Linked DNA regions of Oryctolagus cuniculus. The protein of the gene in region 2 purifies or fractionates together with the protein of the main gene of each other region. This does not show direct contact. Links are inferred from orthologs where the notes say so. Each region holds a gene or a part of one and is shown on either strand. Other genes may lie near its edges.

What was found.
Region 1: the proteins of AKAP9 (region 2) and PRKACA purify together in Homo sapiens (affinity purification with mass spectrometry; 7 studies listed by BioGRID and IntAct, with this or other methods). This does not show direct contact. The link is inferred for Oryctolagus cuniculus from reciprocal best matches to the Homo sapiens genes AKAP9 and PRKACA.
Region 3: the proteins of AKAP9 (region 2) and CSNK1D purify together in Homo sapiens (affinity purification with mass spectrometry; 4 studies listed by BioGRID and IntAct, counting the BioPlex papers as one, with this or other methods). This does not show direct contact. The link is inferred for Oryctolagus cuniculus from reciprocal best matches to the Homo sapiens genes AKAP9 and CSNK1D.
Region 4: the proteins of AKAP9 (region 2) and CDK5RAP2 purify together in Homo sapiens (affinity purification with western blotting; 4 studies listed by BioGRID and IntAct, with this or other methods). This does not show direct contact. The link is inferred for Oryctolagus cuniculus from reciprocal best matches to the Homo sapiens genes AKAP9 and CDK5RAP2.
Region 5: the proteins of AKAP9 (region 2) and PRKAR2A purify together in Homo sapiens (affinity purification with western blotting; 3 studies listed by BioGRID, with this or other methods). This does not show direct contact. The link is inferred for Oryctolagus cuniculus from reciprocal best matches to the Homo sapiens genes AKAP9 and PRKAR2A.

What each region holds. Positions count from the first base shown.
Region 1 is NC_091447.1:62,981,600-62,985,616, forward strand, and holds the start of PRKACA (cAMP-dependent protein kinase catalytic subunit alpha), read right to left. Parts: upstream 2,807-4,017; 5' UTR 2,666-2,806; coding exon 2,644-2,665; intron 1-2,643.
Region 2 is NC_091447.1:43,775,557-43,779,787, forward strand, and holds the start of AKAP9 (A-kinase anchor protein 9), read right to left. Parts: upstream 2,802-4,231; 5' UTR 2,716-2,801; coding exon 2,668-2,715; intron 1-2,667. UniProt on the Homo sapiens protein: Scaffolding protein that assembles several protein kinases and phosphatases on the centrosome and Golgi apparatus. Required to maintain the integrity of the Golgi apparatus. Required for microtubule nucleation at the cis-side of the Golgi apparatus.
Region 3 is NC_091448.1:764,325-767,837, reverse strand, and holds part of CSNK1D (casein kinase I), read right to left. Parts: intron 3,401-3,513; coding exon 3,172-3,400; intron 2,856-3,171; coding exon 2,685-2,855; intron 1,591-2,684; coding exon 1,442-1,590; intron 1-1,441. UniProt on the Homo sapiens protein: Essential serine/threonine-protein kinase that regulates diverse cellular growth and survival processes including Wnt signaling, DNA repair and circadian rhythms. It can phosphorylate a large number of proteins.
Region 4 is NC_091432.1:224,284,528-224,288,040, reverse strand, and holds part of CDK5RAP2 (CDK5 regulatory subunit-associated protein 2), read left to right. Parts: intron 1-79; coding exon 80-206; intron 207-3,513. UniProt on the Homo sapiens protein: Potential regulator of CDK5 activity via its interaction with CDK5R1. Negative regulator of centriole disengagement (licensing) which maintains centriole engagement and cohesion. Involved in regulation of mitotic spindle orientation.
Region 5 is NC_091441.1:100,345,440-100,348,952, reverse strand, and holds part of PRKAR2A (cAMP-dependent protein kinase type II-alpha regulatory subunit), read right to left. Parts: intron 422-3,513; coding exon 320-421; intron 159-319; coding exon 84-158; intron 1-83. UniProt on the Homo sapiens protein: Regulatory subunit of the cAMP-dependent protein kinases involved in cAMP signaling in cells. Type II regulatory chains mediate membrane association by binding to anchoring proteins, including the MAP2 kinase.

The DNA.
Region 1 (4,017 bases), about 19 Mb from region 2:
CCAGCCCGTGCTCTCTGACGCACTGGGCACAACTGACCGCGCCTCTGTTGGGGGAGGGGGCCTCAGTTTTCCTCATCTATACAATGGGGATGATAATGACAGCGACCTAACCATACAGGCAGCGAAGCTGTGTGGATGGCAGGAGCTCACTTTGGCAAAGGGGGGTTGGACGGTGGCTGGCGTGGGACACAAATGTTCCCTATTAATTTTTTTGCAGCATTCTTTTCGGTTGAGACAGCAGACTCGGCGGTAGGTGTCCAGAGCTTAACCAGGCAGTTGGATGAACATGGACAAGACACACGCACCCCCGAACAACACCCTACAGGCGCCAAGCCCGCCCTGCACGTGGTGTTTTCTAAGCGTCAGCCCCAGCCCGGCAGGCTCCATCCCAGCCATTGTACAGATCGGAAGACTGATCATTTGCCTGCAAGCCCTCCCCCACTGCTATGACGTGAGCCGTTTTTACTGCCGTCCCGGCCATCGGCTTCACCGCTGGTCACGTGCACTGGGGTGGACCAGGACAGAACTGTCCCCAGGCCCCAGATGCTTCGATGAAAACAGCCACGCGGAGCACACACGGCCCCCACCCCCTGCCCCACCGTGCTCCTGCCCGTCACTGGCACCACGCCCCCACTGTCCCCAAGGCTGCTGGCAGAGCTGGGCCCAGAGGGGACAGCCGTCCCAAGCTGGCGCCTGGCTGGGCCACCAGCTGGCCGAGAGACCGCTCTGGGCATGGGGTCTACTGGAGACGGTTTGCTCCCACATGTGCACACACACCCACCCACACAGGCACCTTTCCTCCCACAGAACTCTGGATTGGGTGGCGGGGGGAGGGGCGGGGCCCTGACCCACACAGGAAGGCAGCGGGGGGCCTGGTCCTGTTTCCTTCTTCATTGGCGCCCACTGAGCCCCCTCCCCGGGTGGGGCAGAGTCCCTAGCACAGCCCTCCGCTGGCCTCCCAAGGTGCACGAGGAGCCCAGGTCACGTCCCCTCTGCTGGGGCTGGGGGCAGGCAGCTAAGGGCGGTACTGGGGGAGGGGACCTCAGCCTGCAGACCCCGCCCCCACCCCACCCCCACCACTCACCTCTGCTTCTTGTGTCTTCCAGCAGAGGGGAGAACCGGGGGAGTGGGTGGGGTTGGGTGGTCTGGGCTGGGGGGCTCAGGTCAGGCTCGCTGGAAGGTGTGGCGCAGGTAGCTCAGGAGCCGGGCGGCCAGGTGGGCCCAGAGGAGCAGCTGGAGCCACAGCTGGAAAGTGGTCTCCGAGTCCGCACCCTGGCTCCGGCAGGACCCCGGCTCCATCCCAGCATCCCGCTGGCCTGGGCTCTCTCCTCACCCAGCACAGGAGCCGCCCAGCCCCCCGGGGGGTAGGGGGGAAGGGAGGAGGAGCCGGTTGCCACGGAAGCAGTTAAAAAGGTGCCTGCACCTGCTCCTGGCTGCCAGGGTCCACAGAGGCTTTCCCTGGCAGGAGGCGGAGGCGCGGACTCCCGGGGGTGTCCCTCTGCCCGGGGGCGGGGCGCCAAGGCCAACTTCCCCTTCCAGGGACTTGACTCTGGCTGTCAGGCCCTGCCTTCCTCACTGGGTGCCTGGCTGCCCCCTCCCCGTCCCCCCGGGGCCTGGGGCAGTGCCCACTGCGCAGAGGTGAAGGAGTTAAGGCCCAGGCAGCAGCCAGAGGGCCCCAGGGGGCTGAGGAGCGCCCTGTTAATTAGCTGGAAGAACAGCTGGAGGGAAAGGCTGGGCGGGGAGGGGGTAGGGAGGGCGTGGAGGGCCAGGGAGACCAGACACCCCGGGGCTCCCCCACCCAATCCTGCCACCCCTGAGACAGAAACGGGTGCGTGTGGCTCCCTGTCCCGCTCCCATGTGGGGGCGGGGAGGGGATCGACATCCTGCATGCCCTTGGCCTCTGTCAAACCTTGCCCTGTGTGCTTGGCTCCGCTCTGGGCCATGAAAAGTCCAAACCGGAAACGGACGGCTCAACCCGGGGGAGCGGGGGAGGGGGAGGCCGCTTGGCCATCTCCCTCCTTCTTCCCAGATCCCGGAGAGAAGCGGAAGGAGGGGCAGCGGCAGCCTCTCCCAGAGCACCCAACACCCGGAGTTGGTGGGGGCACCCTGCTGGTGACAGGAAGTCCCCCCGCTTCCCCCACTCTGTCACCTAGCTCCTAGAGGGCCATGGCACCAGACGTCCCAATCCCGCCGGGTTTTGATTTGGGGTCCCAGGGACAACCCCAGAGGACCCCTGACAAAGCCACGGCCGAAATCTAGAACTCCATCCTGCGGATGTAGGGTTGCAAGGGTTGTGTGTCCAGCTGGGCAAGGGGCTGGGGGGGGCTCCCTGGACTCCCCATTCCCGGACAATAACCCGAGACCCTCTAGGCACTCTGAAACCTGGCGGTCCTGGGGTGGAACTGCCCAGCCTGGGCGGGGGCCAGTACTCTGGCCTGGCCTGGATCCCCCACACTGGGCTGCACTCCCCTCCCATCGCTGGGCGCACACCCCCGGCTCCCCCCTATCTGTCTTCCTCGTCCCCAGGCCCCCCACAGCCTCCTCCTCCCTTCCTGCGCCCCCAAACCCTGCTGCAGCCCCCTCCCTGACTTGAGGGGCAGAGAGTGCCCAGGGAGTTGCTATAGCAACAGGGCTCAGCCTCACCATCACTGGAGTTGGAAGCCATCACTCAGTCTTCCTCACAGGGCATCCGAGCTACGGTGGCTGGGAAGGCTCACGAGACCTCGCCGCCCCAGCCTGGCGGCCCACCCCACGGCCCGGCCTGCAGGGGGAGCCGGGGAGTTGGGGGGCGGGAATGGGGACGGGAAGGCCGGTGAGAGGAGGGCAGGTGCAGGGGAGAGCTGGCTGGGACCTCCCAAGCTGCTGCTGGCTGCCTTGGGCTAAGAGCAAAGCTGTCTTGGCAGGACCCTCTCGGGCACCCATACAACTGCCAATGGGCAGAGGCGTTTGACCCTCTTGGGCTTCTGTAGGAAGTCGGAAGACACCAGTTCATCCCACCCAGGAACCTGCAGGACGCACCTGGGTGGGCTTGTCTCTGGGGCTTGGTGTCCCCACCAAGGGGCCTCTGGGGGGCTCCCTCCCACCACTCGGGCCATGTCCCTGTGACCCGGCTCCCCGGGGTGGGGGTGGGGGTGTCTCCAGCCAGTGCCAGCTCAGACCTGAGCTCCACTTGGCTGTCTGCCCCCTGGGGCCCCCTGGGGCCACTGCCCTCTCTCGGTTCCTCCAGCCTGGCCATGAGCCTTCATTTTTTTTCCCTTTGCTCTTTTAGCTCCTCGCCAACCCCCACTAAGCCCCTTGTCGGTGGCTTTGCCACCTTTGGGTGCCAATCTTCCCATCTCCACCCCACCCCAGCTCCTGGGCTTTAGGATGCTTGGCCAGTCCCCCGCAGGCTGGGATCTGGCAACATGAAATGCAGGTGCCCCCTGCAGGCTGGGCTGGCTACTGCCCTGGCCCCCGGCCCACCCTGGTCTAAGAGGGTAATTGCCCTCGGACTCCATCCTTTCAAGGGCTGTGAGGCAGAGAGGGGCTTCCTTTTCCCAGCCTGGCTCCTTCTCTCCCAGCCTCAGGAGGGCACCTTCCCATCAGCAGAGCAAGGATCGAGTTCCCAGTCCCTTAGCTAGTTACGTTGTATCCACCCTGCATCTTAATGCGGACCAGCGATGACAGAGGGGCGCAGCCTAGCGCTGGGTTGCATTCCTAGGACTGCTCCCCCCTGAACGGACATGGGGAATTCAACCTCCATTACTTTAATTAAGAAAACACAGGCCGAGAGAGAGCAGGAGCCCGAGAGGCAGCTTCAAGAATGTCCGAGCTGGGAGGCTCTCAGCTCCCAGCTCCCGGCGGCCAGGGACGGGTCTGGATCGGAATCCTGCCTCCGCCTGTGTCCCACTCAGAGACAGCTTACTTGGAGAGCGCCGATAAGAGCCCCTTACAGAAATCACCAGCGCAGACAGATGTGTCCACGGAGACCTACTTGGCAGGGGGACATTCTGGATCCCCTACAAACAGCAGCTCTGG
Region 2 (4,231 bases):
CTGCCAACTACCAGAGCTGTGCCGATCTGAAGCCAGGAGCCAGGAGCTTCTTCCACGTCTCCCATGAAGGTGCAGGAGCTCAAGGACTTGGGCCAACTTCTTCTGCCTTCCCAGGCCATAGCAGAGAGCTGGATAGGAAGTGAAACAGCCAGGACCCAAACCTGTGCCCGTATGGGATGTCGTTAGGGCAGGCAGCGACTTTACCCACTATGCCACAGCGCTGGCCCCTATTGTTACTAAACTATAACCATACTAGTAAAGCTGCACCCATTAACAACTCATTAGTCATTCTGCTCTTCATTTATTTAGCATTCACTGATAGGTATCATTCTAGGGTACACTGTGATCTAACTTGAAAAAAGATTGTCACCACCTCTATATCTCCAGCCCCTGGCATAACATGGGAGTTCAAGATGGCTTGTGCTGAATGACTACATTTAGAACCCAATGTTTTGGGCCGGCGCCGTGGCTCACTAGGCTAATCCTCCACCTTGCGGCGCTGGCACACCGGGTTCTAGTCCCGGTCGGGGCACCGGATTCTGTCCCGGTTGACCCTCTTCCAGGCCAGTTCTCTGCTGTGGCCAGGGAGTGCAGTGGAGGATGGCCCAAGTGCTTGGGCCCTGCACCCCATGGGAGACCAGGATAAGTACCTGGCTCCTGCCTTCGGATAGGCGCAGTGCGCCGGCCGCAGCACGCCGGCTGTGGCGGCCATTGGAGGGTGAACCAACGGCAAAGGAAGACCTTTCTCTCCGTCTCTCTCTCACTGTCCACTCTGCCTGTCAAAAAAAAAAAAAAAAAAAAAAAAGAACCCAATGTTTTTCAGTCCTAACTAAAACACATGCTTATATAGAGAGGAAATAATTTATAGACTATTTTTGATGATGCCATTTTCATTCTATCTTCCATGCTGTTAGTCTTCATAACGTTAATGGCTGCATACTATTCCATTGCATTTATACATCTTAGAAAGCCAGTCTCTTCATATCATCTCTCAAGACTTATTTCGGTATTTTTATTGCAGAGCTAATGTGGCCCCAAACATATCCTGCCTTATACGTTTCACAGATTTCTCACTGGGAAAAGCAGGCTTAACTCCAGAAGAAGATAAACTTCTGAAATACAAGTTAACCTATTAACATTACTCCATTGGTAGAATTTTGAAACACACACACACACACACACCGCTAGAGCATACAGAACTCCATTTTGCCAAATCAACTACTTACAACTATTTAATTAAATCCTCTATCATGATATATGTCTGTCCAAAGTAAATCACCTTTCATGGGACTGCTTCACATGTTTTTAGGAAAGACATTTTTGGGGGCAAGCAGTAAAAATTCCCAAGCCAGACAGATTAGAACTTCAGTGCTTCTGGAAGCCAGCACACAGCTAACCTCCCTCAAGGGACACACGGGGTTTGTGTAATGTAAGCAATTTGGGGGCTCTGGAAGGTGCCCTGTTCCCCTTCCCTCCATGTACAGATTCTAAAAGTCCACCTGGCTACCTGTGAGCCTGGACCTCGGGCGGAGGGAGCTTCCTGCAAAGCCCACTGCATTGCTACGTTACACACGCAGGCAGACACACCTGGGATGAGCACTCTCCTGCTGCACCTCTGCAGGTGGCCCTTCCCGGAGGACTGCAGCCAGGGCCCCGGTTTCCTTTGTTTATGTGGGGGGAGGGGAGGGAAGGCGGAGAGGAGAAACAGTTAACTACACTACCATTTAACCGCAGTCCAAGTATGATTGCTGACAATTACCTCTACAGAGATTAGCAGATAACCTACAAAAGGTCATTTCGTTGTAAAGAAGAAGGGGTCCTTTGGGGCCAACCAGAAGACACGTCTAACACGCAATGTTTAAAAGAAATAGGTTATTCAAATGTATCTCGTGTCAAGTTTTTCATGAAGCCCAAGGAATGACACCTGTGTATGATTTTGTATTGTTTGCTTTACAGGCTTTTTCGTGCGCGCGCGCACACACACGAAACAGCGGCTCACCGGAGCTACACAGAGGACAACGACATTACTCAAAGCAGGAATTCTGTAGGTGTCACTTGGAACACAGAACCTCTGGGTTCCCAGAAGTTCCATGCAGACAGCCTCGGTGCCGCGACAAAGACCTCCGCAGACAGACATACAAAGGCACGCTTCTGTCAACGCCCCTGCAGCCAAGTTCACAGCTGGCACTTGTGGCACACTCGAGCCACTGCCGAGGCAGCTGTCACAGGCCAATCACACACGCCCCGGAGTGCCAGCGTGCCAGAGAGGCGGGCGAGCCGCCGGCCGCGCGCCAATCCCCCCCAAATAAAGGAGAAGCCCTGAATCTCCTCGCTGGGCAGCACAACGCCTGCACCGCCCAGAACACCCCCTGAAGAAAGTGAAAGGCTGAGATTCGGGAGCAATTAAACACCAGCTGACGGCAGCCCTGGGCATTTACGAGAAAGCAGCCACGCCGTTCACTCAGCACCCAAGTATCGGCGGCGAGGAGGGGGCGCCGGGCTTCGCCCCTACTGGAACAAGGGGCGAGGGGGAAACGCGGGGCCGCGGCACCTCGCTCCCCGCCAGCCAGCGCGCGCCGGCCGCCGCCAGCTCCGCTCCCAGGCCCCCTCCCACCCTGCCCAGCCGCCGCCTCCCTCCCCGGGCCCGGCTGCCTCCGCCTCTCCTACCTTCGCTTTGCCGGCCTCCAGCTTCTTCTGTCGCTCCTCGTCCTCCATGGCCTCTGCGGGAAGGCGGCGGAGCAGCGGGCGGGGTTTGGGGGAGACAGGAAAGGTCGGTTCAGGCGGAGGTGGGGCGGCGAGCTCCGCGGCCCAGCGAGCAGGCCCGGCGCGGCGCGGCCCCGCCCGGAGCGCGAGCAGCCTCCGCGCTCACTGGCGGCTCGTCCCGGGCCGCACGGCCAGCGCCGTCACCGCCGCCGCCATCTTCGTCTCCACGTAAACACTCGGCGGGCGTCGTGGGGGGGGGGGGACGTCGGTCCGCGCAGCCGCCGCGCCGGGCAGGTGCGCCGCGGCCCCGCCCCCGCCCGCGCCGTCCTCCCGCGGCCCGGCGGCTCCCGGCGGCTCCCGGCGGCGGCGGGGCTGAGGCGGGAGCGGTGTCCAGGGCCGCCCGCCCGCCGGCCAGCAGTGCCGCCACGGTGCGCGGGACTCGGCGCTCTTCAAACAGAGCGGTTTTTCCAATCACGAAGCCATCAGATATGAAGGACCTCTGAGCAGCCACAGTGGCCAGCAGGCGGGAGAGACTTGCCGGACCCCGGCTTTTCAACCTAGGTGGACTCCTCCACGCCAGAAACCGGGAGAGCGGCGACTGCGGCGGTGACTTCCCTGGCCTCGCAGTCCCGCCCCCTGGCCCACGCCGGTTCCCGCCCAGGCTGCCGGGTCCTCCGAGGCCCACCTCGCACGCCTCCGCCTGCACGCACACGGCTCCTGTCTTTGTTCGCCCCCCGCCCCCGGGAGGGCTCCTGCTGAACCTGCACTCCCATCCAGCCTCGCTGGGGCCTCTGGCAGCGGTGCTCTCGGGGACCCAGCCCGGGCGCACCACCTGACACGACACACGTTACCTGTCCTGGGATTGGGGAAGGGTGGTCATCTTTGTGACTGCCCCTGGCCTACCGAATCGCCCCGAATTAATGTCGGTTGCCGTTTTTCTCGAATTTCCTTGATGTCCTCTGCACGCGTTTTGTTGGCTTGCGTGCTTCTTAGGTCACCTGATATTCCTGGCTCCTTGGAGGCACGGACCCCCTCATGGATCCTGCTCACCGTGGCATTAATAAACGACTAGCACAGGGCTTTGCTCCGAATAAATACTGCTGGGTTGACTGGTCACGTCTATAAATTGATCATTACTCTTCCGTTTCTTCCACTCACCTGGCCCCGCAATCCTCCTCCTGCCCCCTTCACCACCCTCCCATTCGCCAACCCTCCGTTCCTAGAGTGAATACAAATGATCCTGTCTTAGGTTGAATACTGATGTTGAGTTCCCCTCTCCTTTGTTGAGTGAGGTTGGGCTGAGAAACTGTCAGGAGTGGAAACAAGCTGCGAGTTCAACGTATTGGTGATATTCAGTGAAACTTGGGGTTAAAAAAGGAAAAGGTGGGAGGGGGGTGCTCTGGCATACCAGGTTAAGCCCCCACCTGGCGCTGGTTCCAGTCCTAGCTGCTGCTCTTCTGTTCCAGTTCCCTGCTAAGGGCCTAGCAAAGCAGAGGAAGATGTCCCAAGTGCTTGGGTCCCTTAACCC
Region 3 (3,513 bases), on a different chromosome or scaffold from region 2:
CTCCAGCCCCAGGGCAGGATGCCTGCCTGCCCGCCCAGTGGTCTCCAGCCACACCACTGGCCCTGCTGCCTTCTGAAGAGGCAAAAAACTGTACTCTTCCACTAGATTCTTTTTTTTTTTTTTTTTTTTTTGACAGGCAGAGTGGACAGTGAGAGAGAGAGAGAGAGAGAAAGGTCTTCCTTTGCCGTTGGTTCACCCTCCAATGGCCGCCACGGCTGGCGCGCTGCGGCCGGCGCACCGCGCTGATCCGATGGCAGGAGCCAGGTGCTTCTCCTGGGCTCCCATGGGGTGCAGGGCCCAAGCACTTGGGCCATCCTCCACTGCACTCCCGGGCCACAGCAGAGAGCTGGCCTGGAAGAGGGGCAACCTGGACAGAATCCGGCACCCCGACTGGGACTAGAACCCGGTGTGCTGGCGCCGCAAGGCGGAGGATTAGCCTAGTGAGCCACGGTGCCAGCTCTCCTCCACTAGATCCTGTCAACTGCTAAGGTGCTGAGTTGAGTGACAGCTGGGCGGGACAATCTTCAGTGGAAGAAGGCACCAGAGCTGGACCAAAGCGGCCAGCATCAGCAGCAACCGCAGCCAAGTGGGAACGGCTGCCTGCCCTCGGTCTGCAGGGCAGAGTGGGGAGAGCTTCAGAGAGAGACGGCGACATTGGTTCACTCCCCAGACGGCTGCAAAGGCTGGGGATGGTCCAGGTTAAAGCCAGGAGACAGAACTCCATGGTGGTCTCCCACATGGGTAGCAGGGGCCCAGGTTTTTGGGTTTGGGCCATCATCTGCTGACTTCCCGGGCACATCAGCAGGGAGCTGGGTATCAGAACTGGGGCTTCGACGGGACGCTGGTGCTGCAGGCGGCAGCTCAGCTCACTGCACCCCAGCACTGGCCGGGCACAGCCATGGCGTCTCATGCACACATCACGAACTGTGGTGAGAAGGATACCTAACGTGAGATGGGCTCACCACAGGGCCAAATCCAGACAGCAGGTGCGCTCCTCACAGCACGGGGGTCCCCACAGCCCCCACGGCACTGGGCCCTCTGGCTCCCTGCAGCCCCGGGTGACGCTGGGTGAGGGCACCGCAGGCAGCCCCACGGAGCTCTGAGAACTGGTGCTGGCCACTCCAACCCCAGAAACCTGCACGTGCCAACTCCCAGGAGCTGCGGCTGCAGGCAGACCTCTCGGCCACTCCAGGACCTGCTGCCCGCGTCACATGGTCTCAGGGGAGCCTGGCTCTCCTCGACGGCACACACCCGCATCAGCCCAGGGCCCACAAGGGATACCGGGCTTCCCCAATTTGGCAAACATGCCCTAAAAACCCAAGCCCTCGACGGCACAGTCGCCTGCACACGATGTGGCCCTGGACGAGGGCCGCCAGCTTCCCACCGATGGGCAGTTCCCGTCATGCCTCGAGAAGGCAGAGCTGGCGGCGGCAGCACTTACAAATTTGAGCATGTTCCAGTCGAACACGTAGTCGTAGGAGAAGCCCTGGCGATGGAACAGGTTTCGGAAGAGCTGTCTCAGGTACGAGTAGTCGGGCTTGTCGTCAAAGCGCAGGGAACGGCAGAAATTCAGGTACGTGGCGAATTCAGCTGAAAGACAAGCAGCACAAAGCTAAGCGAAATGCCCACCTGTCAATACCACTGCTCACCCCTGTGGCCACACACCCAGGGAGTGTGCCGCCTCTTGCTTTATTCGGGGTTGGCACTGTGGCACAGTGCGCTGAAGCCTCCGCATGCGGCAGCGGTATCCCACCCAGCCGGGTACTGGTTGAGTCCCGGCTGCTCCACTTCGGATCCAGCTCTCTGGGATGGCCTGGGAAAGCAGTGGACTCTCTCTGCACCCACATGGGAGACCTGGAAGAAGCTCCTGGCTCCAGCTATTGTGGCCATCTGGGGAGTGAACCAGCAGATGGAAGAACCTGTCTATAACTCTACCTCTTAGATAAATATTTAAAAAATTATTTACTTAAAAGACAGAGAAACACACACACACACACACACACACACACACACACACGAGGGAGGGAGAAAGAGAAAGAGATTTTCCATCTGCTTGTTCACTCCCCAAATGGTCACAATGGCTAGGGCTGGCCCAAGCTGAAGCTGGGAGCCAGGAGCTTCTTCCGGGTCTCCCATGTGGGTACAGGGGCCCAAGCACGTCAGACGAACTCCACTCCTTTCCTAGCACATCAGCAGGGAGCTGGATCAGAGCAGAGCAGTCGGGTCTTGAACGAGTGCCCACGTGGTCTGCTGGGGTAGCAGGCGGCAGCTTTACCCGCTATGCCACAGCGCCGGCCCTGCAAGTGTGCATTTTAAAACCAGCCACATTTTGAAGAATCTAGGCCTCGGGAAAGTGTTTTTAAAATATTCAACATCACATAGCAAACTTAATTTTACCCAGGGAAGTCTTAGAACACAGGAAAACTCAGTGATTACGAACCCAGACACTGAGGTTGGCTATAGGCTGTGGTCAGCCCACAAGGCAGGTACAGCCACCACTCACTCTCCACCTCCCAACGTCCGAGACATTTCGCAAGGTCAGCCGGGCCTTGCCTCCACCTCCTCTGGGCTGACGGAGCTCCCACCAGAGACACTCGGGATGCATCAAACAAGAGGCCACCGTGACCTCCACACACACAGCGGCCCCTCTGCCGCCACGCCTGCTGCGGAATGAGGACACTCACAGGGGTAGCCTTTGCACAGCACTTCGATGGGGGTGGACATCTTCTTCTCGCTGATCCGTTCGTACTTCTGTCTCTTGGTGGCAGCCTTCAGCCCCTGCCAGGGCAGAGAGCCCAAGTTGAAGTACATGAGCACGTAGCCCAGGGACTCCAAGTCATCCCTTCGAGATTGCTCTGCAAAGAAAAGGAACGGCGTGAGGGCTGGCGGCCGTGTGCTCGCACAGAGGCAACACTCGCCCCCTCAGTGGCGGAAGGTGCTCCCAGGCGCCACTGAGGACCGCCCCAGCCCCAGCCCAGAGGGGGCAACATCCTGGCACCGCCCTGCCTCCTGCCGGACAACCAGGCTTCAACTGCTGCTGCAGCCAGACTGTCTGCTACAAAGGCCTGATCAGGGCCCCGGCAACAGACACGCTCACAAGCCTGGGCGCCCGAGATGCGCGATGCACACACCCACAGCTAGCTAAGCCAGCACCCCGCGGGCGGGGCTCACCAATTCCGAGGTGCGTGTTGATGGAGGCGTACCGCGCGGTCCCTGTGAGGTTCTTGTTCTCACGGTAGGGGATGTGCTGGTGCGTCCTTGCGTCCCGGTACTTCTTGGCCAGCCCAAAGTCGATGATGTAGACCAGGTTGCCTTTCTTCCCCAGCCCCATGAGGAAGTTGTCTGGCTTCACATCTCGGTGGATGAAGTTCTTCGAATGGATGTACTCAATGCGGCTGATCTGCGGCGACACGAGCACCAGCACGCGGTGAAATCCCAGAGCCGCAGCCTCACGGAGCAGCCAGGCGGCAGTGAAGCCCGAGCCCGTGCCGGCACGCTCCCAACAACCGTCAG
Region 4 (3,513 bases), on a different chromosome or scaffold from region 2:
GTGCATTTCTGTAATTCTTGCTGAGTAATAGGACTGTGGCACTTGCAGTCCGTTTTCCTGATTCTTCTCTTCTCTTTAGATGGGAGAAATGAAGGCCGAGATCTCCAAGCTGCACAAGAAGCTGATTGAACAAGAGAAGAGGTTGCAAAGCACCCTGAAGCTTCTGCAGCAGAGCAAGCACCAGGAAAAAGTGATCTTTGATCAGCGTAAGCAGCGTGCGCCCTGGCTCTGGGTTGCGTTTCACACCCCATCCATCCCGCCCCGTGCACAGAGGCCTGCTCATGCCACCCCGCTATGTAGAAGGGCCCTCAGGGCCAGGGGCTGCCATGCTGGGGAGATAGTGTGGCGGCTTGGCTCTGAGGGCTCAGGCTGGGGGGATTATAGGGGTGCCGAGGTGGGAGTGGGGTGGGTGCTGCCCTGCCCTGGGAGGTGCCCTGGGAGGGTGGGCCAGGTGACGGCTGGGTGTAGCGTGAAGGGATGAGCAGGCGTCACCACGTGGAAGGGGCCTGGCAATCACAGAGGTGGAAGCCGAGTGGGAGGCCAGGGCTGCGCTGGGCAGGGCCTCAGGTGGCCGGCTAAGGGCAGATGTGTGTCGGGCAGAGGATCCGCCTGTCACATCCATGTGCAAGAAAGGTTTGCTGGGGCTGGTGCCCCCGAGCAGAGGAGGCGGGCACACTGGCAGCCAGGGAAGGAGGAGGACCTTGGCCAGGAGCGTGGGGGCCCAAGGGCAGGGGTGCGGATGCAAGAAATGTTCTCCAGGCCACGCAGAAACTCGAGTTGGAGGCCAGGCACCTGCACACATGGTTCAAGCCCCGGCACTCATCTCCCCCGGCCATGTGTGTTCAGAGGAGCGGTTTCCATCGGGGCCGCGGGCAGCACAGCCCCAGCTGGGCCTCCTGCCGTCTGCACGCCAGTTTCCCTGTGGTAGGGGAAAGGCCGACCATGGTGTCTTCCCATATGGGGGGCCGGTGTGCTCTGCATGTCTCTCTCCTGAAAGGCCAGTGTTGCCGCACCACTTCTGAGAAGCACAGAATGTGGACTGTTGCCAAGTGCAGTTTCTCCTTAGCCCGGGAACCTTCTGGGATGAGCAGGAGTTAGACAGTTAGTCTCCTGCCATGGTGGATGACCTCATGGCCCCAGGGCTGTACTCCCCAAAATAAGAGAGAACCGGGGCCGGGGCCGGCGCTGTGGGGCAGCAGGTTAATGCCCTGGCCTGAAGCGCCGGCATCCCATATGGAAGCCAGTTTGAGTACGGCTGCTCCTCTTCCGATCCAGCTCTGCTATGGCCTGGAAAAGCAGTAGAAGATGGTTCAAGTCCTTGGGCTCCTGCACCCGTCTGGGAGACCTGAAAGAAGCTCCTGGTTCCTGGCATCGGATCTGTGTAGCTCCAGCTGTTGTGGCCAGCTGGGGAGTGAACCATCAGATGGAAGACCCCTCTCTCTGCCTCTCCTCTCTCTGTGTAGCTCTGACTTTCAAATAAATAAATAAATCTTAAAAAAAAAAAAGAGAGAGAGAGAGAGAGAACCAAACGTTTGGGGACATGCTTAGGACATACCGAGGCTTTTGCCTGAGTGAGAGATGGGGCAGAGAGGAGGTTACCAGGAGCCTCATGGGCTGCCCTCAGGGAGCAGCAGCAGGGACTGACCTGGCCCACTGGTGCATTCGAAGAACTGTAGCGTGGGAGGGAGCCAGGTGGAGGGGCTGGACAGTGCCAGCGGAGGTCATGTTGAGCGGGACTGTGTGAGCAGCAGGGCCAGGAAGTGATGCTTTGCTCAGCCAAGTCCGGGAACAGCAGCACCCTCTGCCCCTGCGCGTCTGCAGCCTCGGACACGCACAGGGCGCGTTTCAGGTGAGGACGTTTCAGAAGGAGGCAGAATTAGCTTCCCGCGGGTCAAGTTACCGAGGCAGCTCAAGGGGGCCGAACACGGGCCCTGGTGTTCTGGGCAGTGGGCACAGACTCATGCGTGGGCACAGCTGGTTCTCCAGTGCCCTGGGTCACCTACATGGAATGGCTTGAACTCGGAGCTTGCAGACGACTCAGACTGTCCAGGTGGCCTGGGCTCTGACCGCAGCTCTAGAAAAAGTGCCTCCCTTCCTCGTCTGTCAAGCCAGGGGTGACATGCTGCCTAAGCCGCACTGTGCTGGCGTGACCTCAGGATGGAGTCGACGCCCAGCAAATGTTGTCTTCGTCTTTCTGTTCATTACGCCAGGCTGAATCCTGTGCGTGGTGGTGGCAAATCAGTCCTGTAAGAAAGTCACGGTCTTCTCGCAGCATTCCCCCTGCCAAAATGGGGTCTCCTAGCTCGTACCACCAAGGTCTGGCACAGAGTGGGCGTGGCCTGGCCCAGCGTGCGCACCTGGTGGCTGACTGGGGCCTGCAACTCCTCCTCCTGTGCTGGGCTCTGCGGCTCATTGGAAATTTCCCCGAACCCTGCCAGTCTCACAGGTCTGTTGCTGGCTCTCAGGTGACCAAGTAGGGGCAGGTGTTTGGCACCGTGGCTTAAGTTGCCACTTAGCACACTCACATCCTGAATCCCAGTGCCTGCTCTGAGTCCTGGCTCCTCTTCCTATCCAGCTTCCTGCTCCTGCACACCCTGGGAGGCAATAGGTGATGCCTCAAGTACCCAGGTCCTTGCCACCTGCATGGGGTACCTGAATGGAGTTCTGGGCTCCTGGCTTCAGCCTAGCACAGCTGTGGCTGCTACAAGCATTTGGAGTGAACCAGCAGATGGAAGATAGATCTCTCTGTTTCTCTCTTTCTTGCCGCCTTTCAAATAAAATGAAAATGGACAGTAATTAAAAATTGAGGTGACTGAGTAAAAGGTGGCCTTGTTGCCTCCCTTTGCTCCCCACGGGGTAGCAGGGAATGGCCAGGGCCAGGGCCAGTCCCTGTCTGCATCAGGCACGCCACCTCCTGCCAGAGTCCAGTGGAGTGTGAAGAAAGGGGGTCCCTTGAACACCCGAGAACCCTGCCGCAGGTCACTCACTCTGCCTCTGAGCCTCAGATCCTTACTTGCAAAGTTAGGGTGGGGGTGGGGTTTTCAGTGAGCCACCCTGGCACATGCCTGTCACAGGTCATCCCTGCTGCTGCTCCCTGAGGGCAGCCCACGAGGCTCCTTGCCACCTGCTCCCTCCTCCTTCCCGCTCTCACTCAGGCAAAAGCCTTGGTATGTCCTAAGCATGTCCGCAGACGTTTGGTTCTTTCTTGTTCTGGGAGTGCGGCCTTGGGGCCACGAGGTCATCCGCCTGAGTAGGAGACTAACTTTTTCTGACTAACTCCTGCTCATCCCTCGAGACCCGGCAGGTCTTGACCCCCCCATGACCCAGGGCCTTGGGCCAGCGCTCAGGCTGCTTGCTCGTGTTTGGGTCTCCCTGCGGTGCCACAGCGTCTCCCCAGCCTCTGTGCCGGAGCCTCTGCACGTGTCGGAGGCTCTGCCAGTGTCACGGAGTCGGAAGCTTCCTGGGGACGGCTAAGGAGAACCCGTGCTTGGCAGTAGTCCACGTTCTGTTCTT
Region 5 (3,513 bases), on a different chromosome or scaffold from region 2:
ACAGACATCTTAAGAGACAAAAGTGATGTGCTTGTTTTCAAGTGGTGACTTCAGGAAAGGAGCTGGGCAGGGCCTCTGCTTACCTGAGTGATTATGCGTTCTCCATCCTTATAGACCTTCTCTCCGATGACATCCACAATCTTCATTCGTTCCGATACCTGAAACAACAGACACACAAATCATAAGGAAAAGACCTTAACTGAAAGTTACACTACTTATACAACACAGAAATGGGCTAGAATAATATGATTTGAAAACTTAGTAACAGATAGCTTCTCTCTCCCCACCATAAAAAGACTCTTACTCAAATAGATTTTACCTCTAGTGATTTAAGGAGGGGCACAGACTCAATAAACGATTCAAACATCTTCCTTTTTTTTGCATTGTTTTTCACTATGATTCTTCTAAAAGTCACCCGGTCCTATAAGAAAGAAAATGAAAAATCTAGTAAATGCCTGTGTAAGACAATGTCCACGGTTTAGTTAACTGGGACACGTCAATTGTTAGATTATGTAAGTTATTGTGTCAACTGAGTGTTTAATGATACTTCAATTCCAGAGTAGTCAATGGAAGAAAAAGACTTGTAGCCTAAGCCAGACAAATGCCCGACACACTGCTGCTTGCTATCTAGTGTTCAATGGGTGCCACCTGTGGGTCACAAACAGACCACAAAACAAAGAATTCCCAATCAAACATTGGGGAGCTCACAGTCATTGTTTAAAATCAAAAGACAGCCGGCCGGCGCCGCGGCTCACTAGGCTAATCCTCTGCCTAGCGGCGCCGGCACACCAGGTTCTAGTCCCGGTTGGGGCGCCGGATTCTGTCCCGGTTGCCCGTCTTCCAGGCCAGCTCTCTGCTGTGGCCAGGGAGTGCAGTGGAGGATGGCCCAGGTGCTTGGGCCCTGCACCCCATGGGAGACCAGGATAAGCACCTGGCTCCTGGCTCCTGCCATCGGATCAGCGCGGTACGCCGGCCGCAGCGCACCGGCCGCGGCGGCCATTGGAGGGTGAACCAACGGCAAAAGGAAGACCTTTCTCTCTGTCTCTCTCTCTCACTGTCCACTCTGCCTGTCAAAAAAAAAAAAAAAAAAAAAAAGACAGCCTTCCAAAAAAAGGAAGGAATAAAAAACTAGATGGTTCTTGAGTACAAGGACTTCACCATCTTAATCATGAGACAACACAAAACACACAGGAATAAAGAGTCTACAGTTCAAGGCAGCATATGAAATACACTAGGTGAAGCTACAGAAGGCAAGCATCACAAGAATTTGAGATGGGAGGGAGATCACAGTAAGCAGGAATGATTGAAGACAGTTTTGTAGCAAAAATATAAATTTGGGATCTGAAGGATGAGTAGTTTTAAATTAATGAAAAGATAGGGGAGGATACTCAAAATGGAAGGCAGACATATAAAAGGTACCTTGACCCCAGTAAAGTCATGGATTCTGATTAGGAGACAGTAAATCAGAGCTACCTAGAGCCAGGCACTTTTCAGACACGTGTGAACATAGGTGGGGAGAGACACATGGACAGGAAAATGTTAACTGCTTAGTCTCAGGCTTCTAAATGGGTGAACAGTCATTTGGACCCAAGTTAGCTATTCCTTTTTCCTACACAGGCTGTCAAGAATGGAAAGTTTTCTTTTGGAAACTATAAAAATACCCTAAAGGCTGGAAAAGTAAAGCAGCAGCAAGGGAGTAAGGGCCTATTTCACTGTAGGTTCCTGATGCTGGAGCGGTTGTGGGGTAAAGACAGCACATAACAGACAACTGGGCGCAACATCTGAATGGACTTCACTGGCTCATTTTCTATCAGCTGTAGAATTCCCAGGTCCTATCCTGTGCCACGTTTCACCCACATAAACAGAGAAGTCACCTACACTCCTAGTGTGGGCAGTGGTAGAATCCTACTCTCCCTACTTACACGGCTGTACAAATAAGGTCTGCTTTCTGGTACTTAGGCAGATTCTGTCCCATTTTCCCCCAATATACTTGGAACGAGCCATTCAATCTCTAGTCGCTCTGTTGTGGCTGCATCATCTACCATGGATTTTCTGAAGTCGAGGATAAAGATGTATTATTTAAAATGTTACTTTTATACTTTGGAATATTGGCCAATCTAGGCCAGGAATGTTATGGAAAGAGAACAATTAAGACAGAAAATGAGAATTATAAAGCCCCTTTCCTTATGCTTGAATAGGCATGTCAAAAAATAATATTTATAAATCCATTTATAATGTTACAAATATTATAATAATTTCAATAGCAAGTTGCATTTCTATCTAAGGAGAAAAACAACAGATATCTCTTAAAAATTATTTGAAAAGCAGAGTGATAAAGAAGTAGAGAGAGGAGGGAAAAGATCTTCTGTCTGCTGGTGCAGTTACCAAATGCTTTCTAAGGCTGGGGCTTGACTCAGGATCTGGAACTCCATGCAAGTTTCCCATGTGGGTGGCAGGAACCCAAGTACTTGGGCCATCATTCGCTACCTTTCCAGGTAGCAGGAATCTGAATCAGAAGCAAAGTAGCTGGGACTCCAACAAGCACAATCCAACATGGAATGTCAGTGTCTGAAGAGGCAGCTTAAGTCACTGTACCACATAGCCAATCCCAGAGTATCCTGCAGATTTATCCATTCATTTTCCAATCCCTCCTATGCATGTTTTCACACACTTCCCAGAACTCTCTATTCATATCATGCAAGGCCAATTCTTGTAGCTATGGAAGGTTAAAAACAACAACAACAATAACAACAAAACAGCACCAGACACCAACTCAGCCTTTGGAGAGCTCCCAGTGGGGCACTGCAGGTGAACTTTCAGAGACAGCAGGTGCTCAGAGGCAAGCAAACCACCTGAAAGTTTGAAAAGAAAAGGAGTGCCACCCCCTCTTGTAACTACAAGCGTTCCTTAGGGAAGCTTCTACTGACCTCCACTCGAGCAGGAGCAGAAACTGACTAGTGCCCACAGTGGCAGCTATTCCCTGTCAAAGAAGGAATACAGGATCCAAGTGGAGAAACTCAGTGACAATACCCAGTCCACCTGGCCTTAGCTTCATTAGGCATTTCCAAGGTCTTCCCAGGCATGAGTGAAGAAGTCCGGCTGGAGAGGATCCTCTGGGAGCAACTTTTCTAGAAGTGGTACTCAAGCTTTGGGAGAGTCTGACATTGTGAAGCAAGTGAATGAAGCAGAACAAAAAGCAGAAGAGCATCCTGATGGGTTATTGGCCTTAATTAAGACAGCAGGGAGGGGCCGGTGCCGTGGCTCACTTGGTTAATCCTCTGCCTTGCAGCGCCAGCATCCCATATGGATGCCAGGTTCTAGTCCTGGTTGCTCCTCTTCCAGTCCAGCTCTCTGCTGTGGCCTGGGAGGGCAGTGGAGGATGGCTCAAGTGCTTGGGCTCCTGCAACCACATGGGAGACCAGGAAGAAGCTCCTGGCTCCTGGCTTCAGATCGGTGCAGTGCCGGCCATGGGGGCCATTTGGGAAGTGAACCAATGGAAGGAAGACCTTTCTC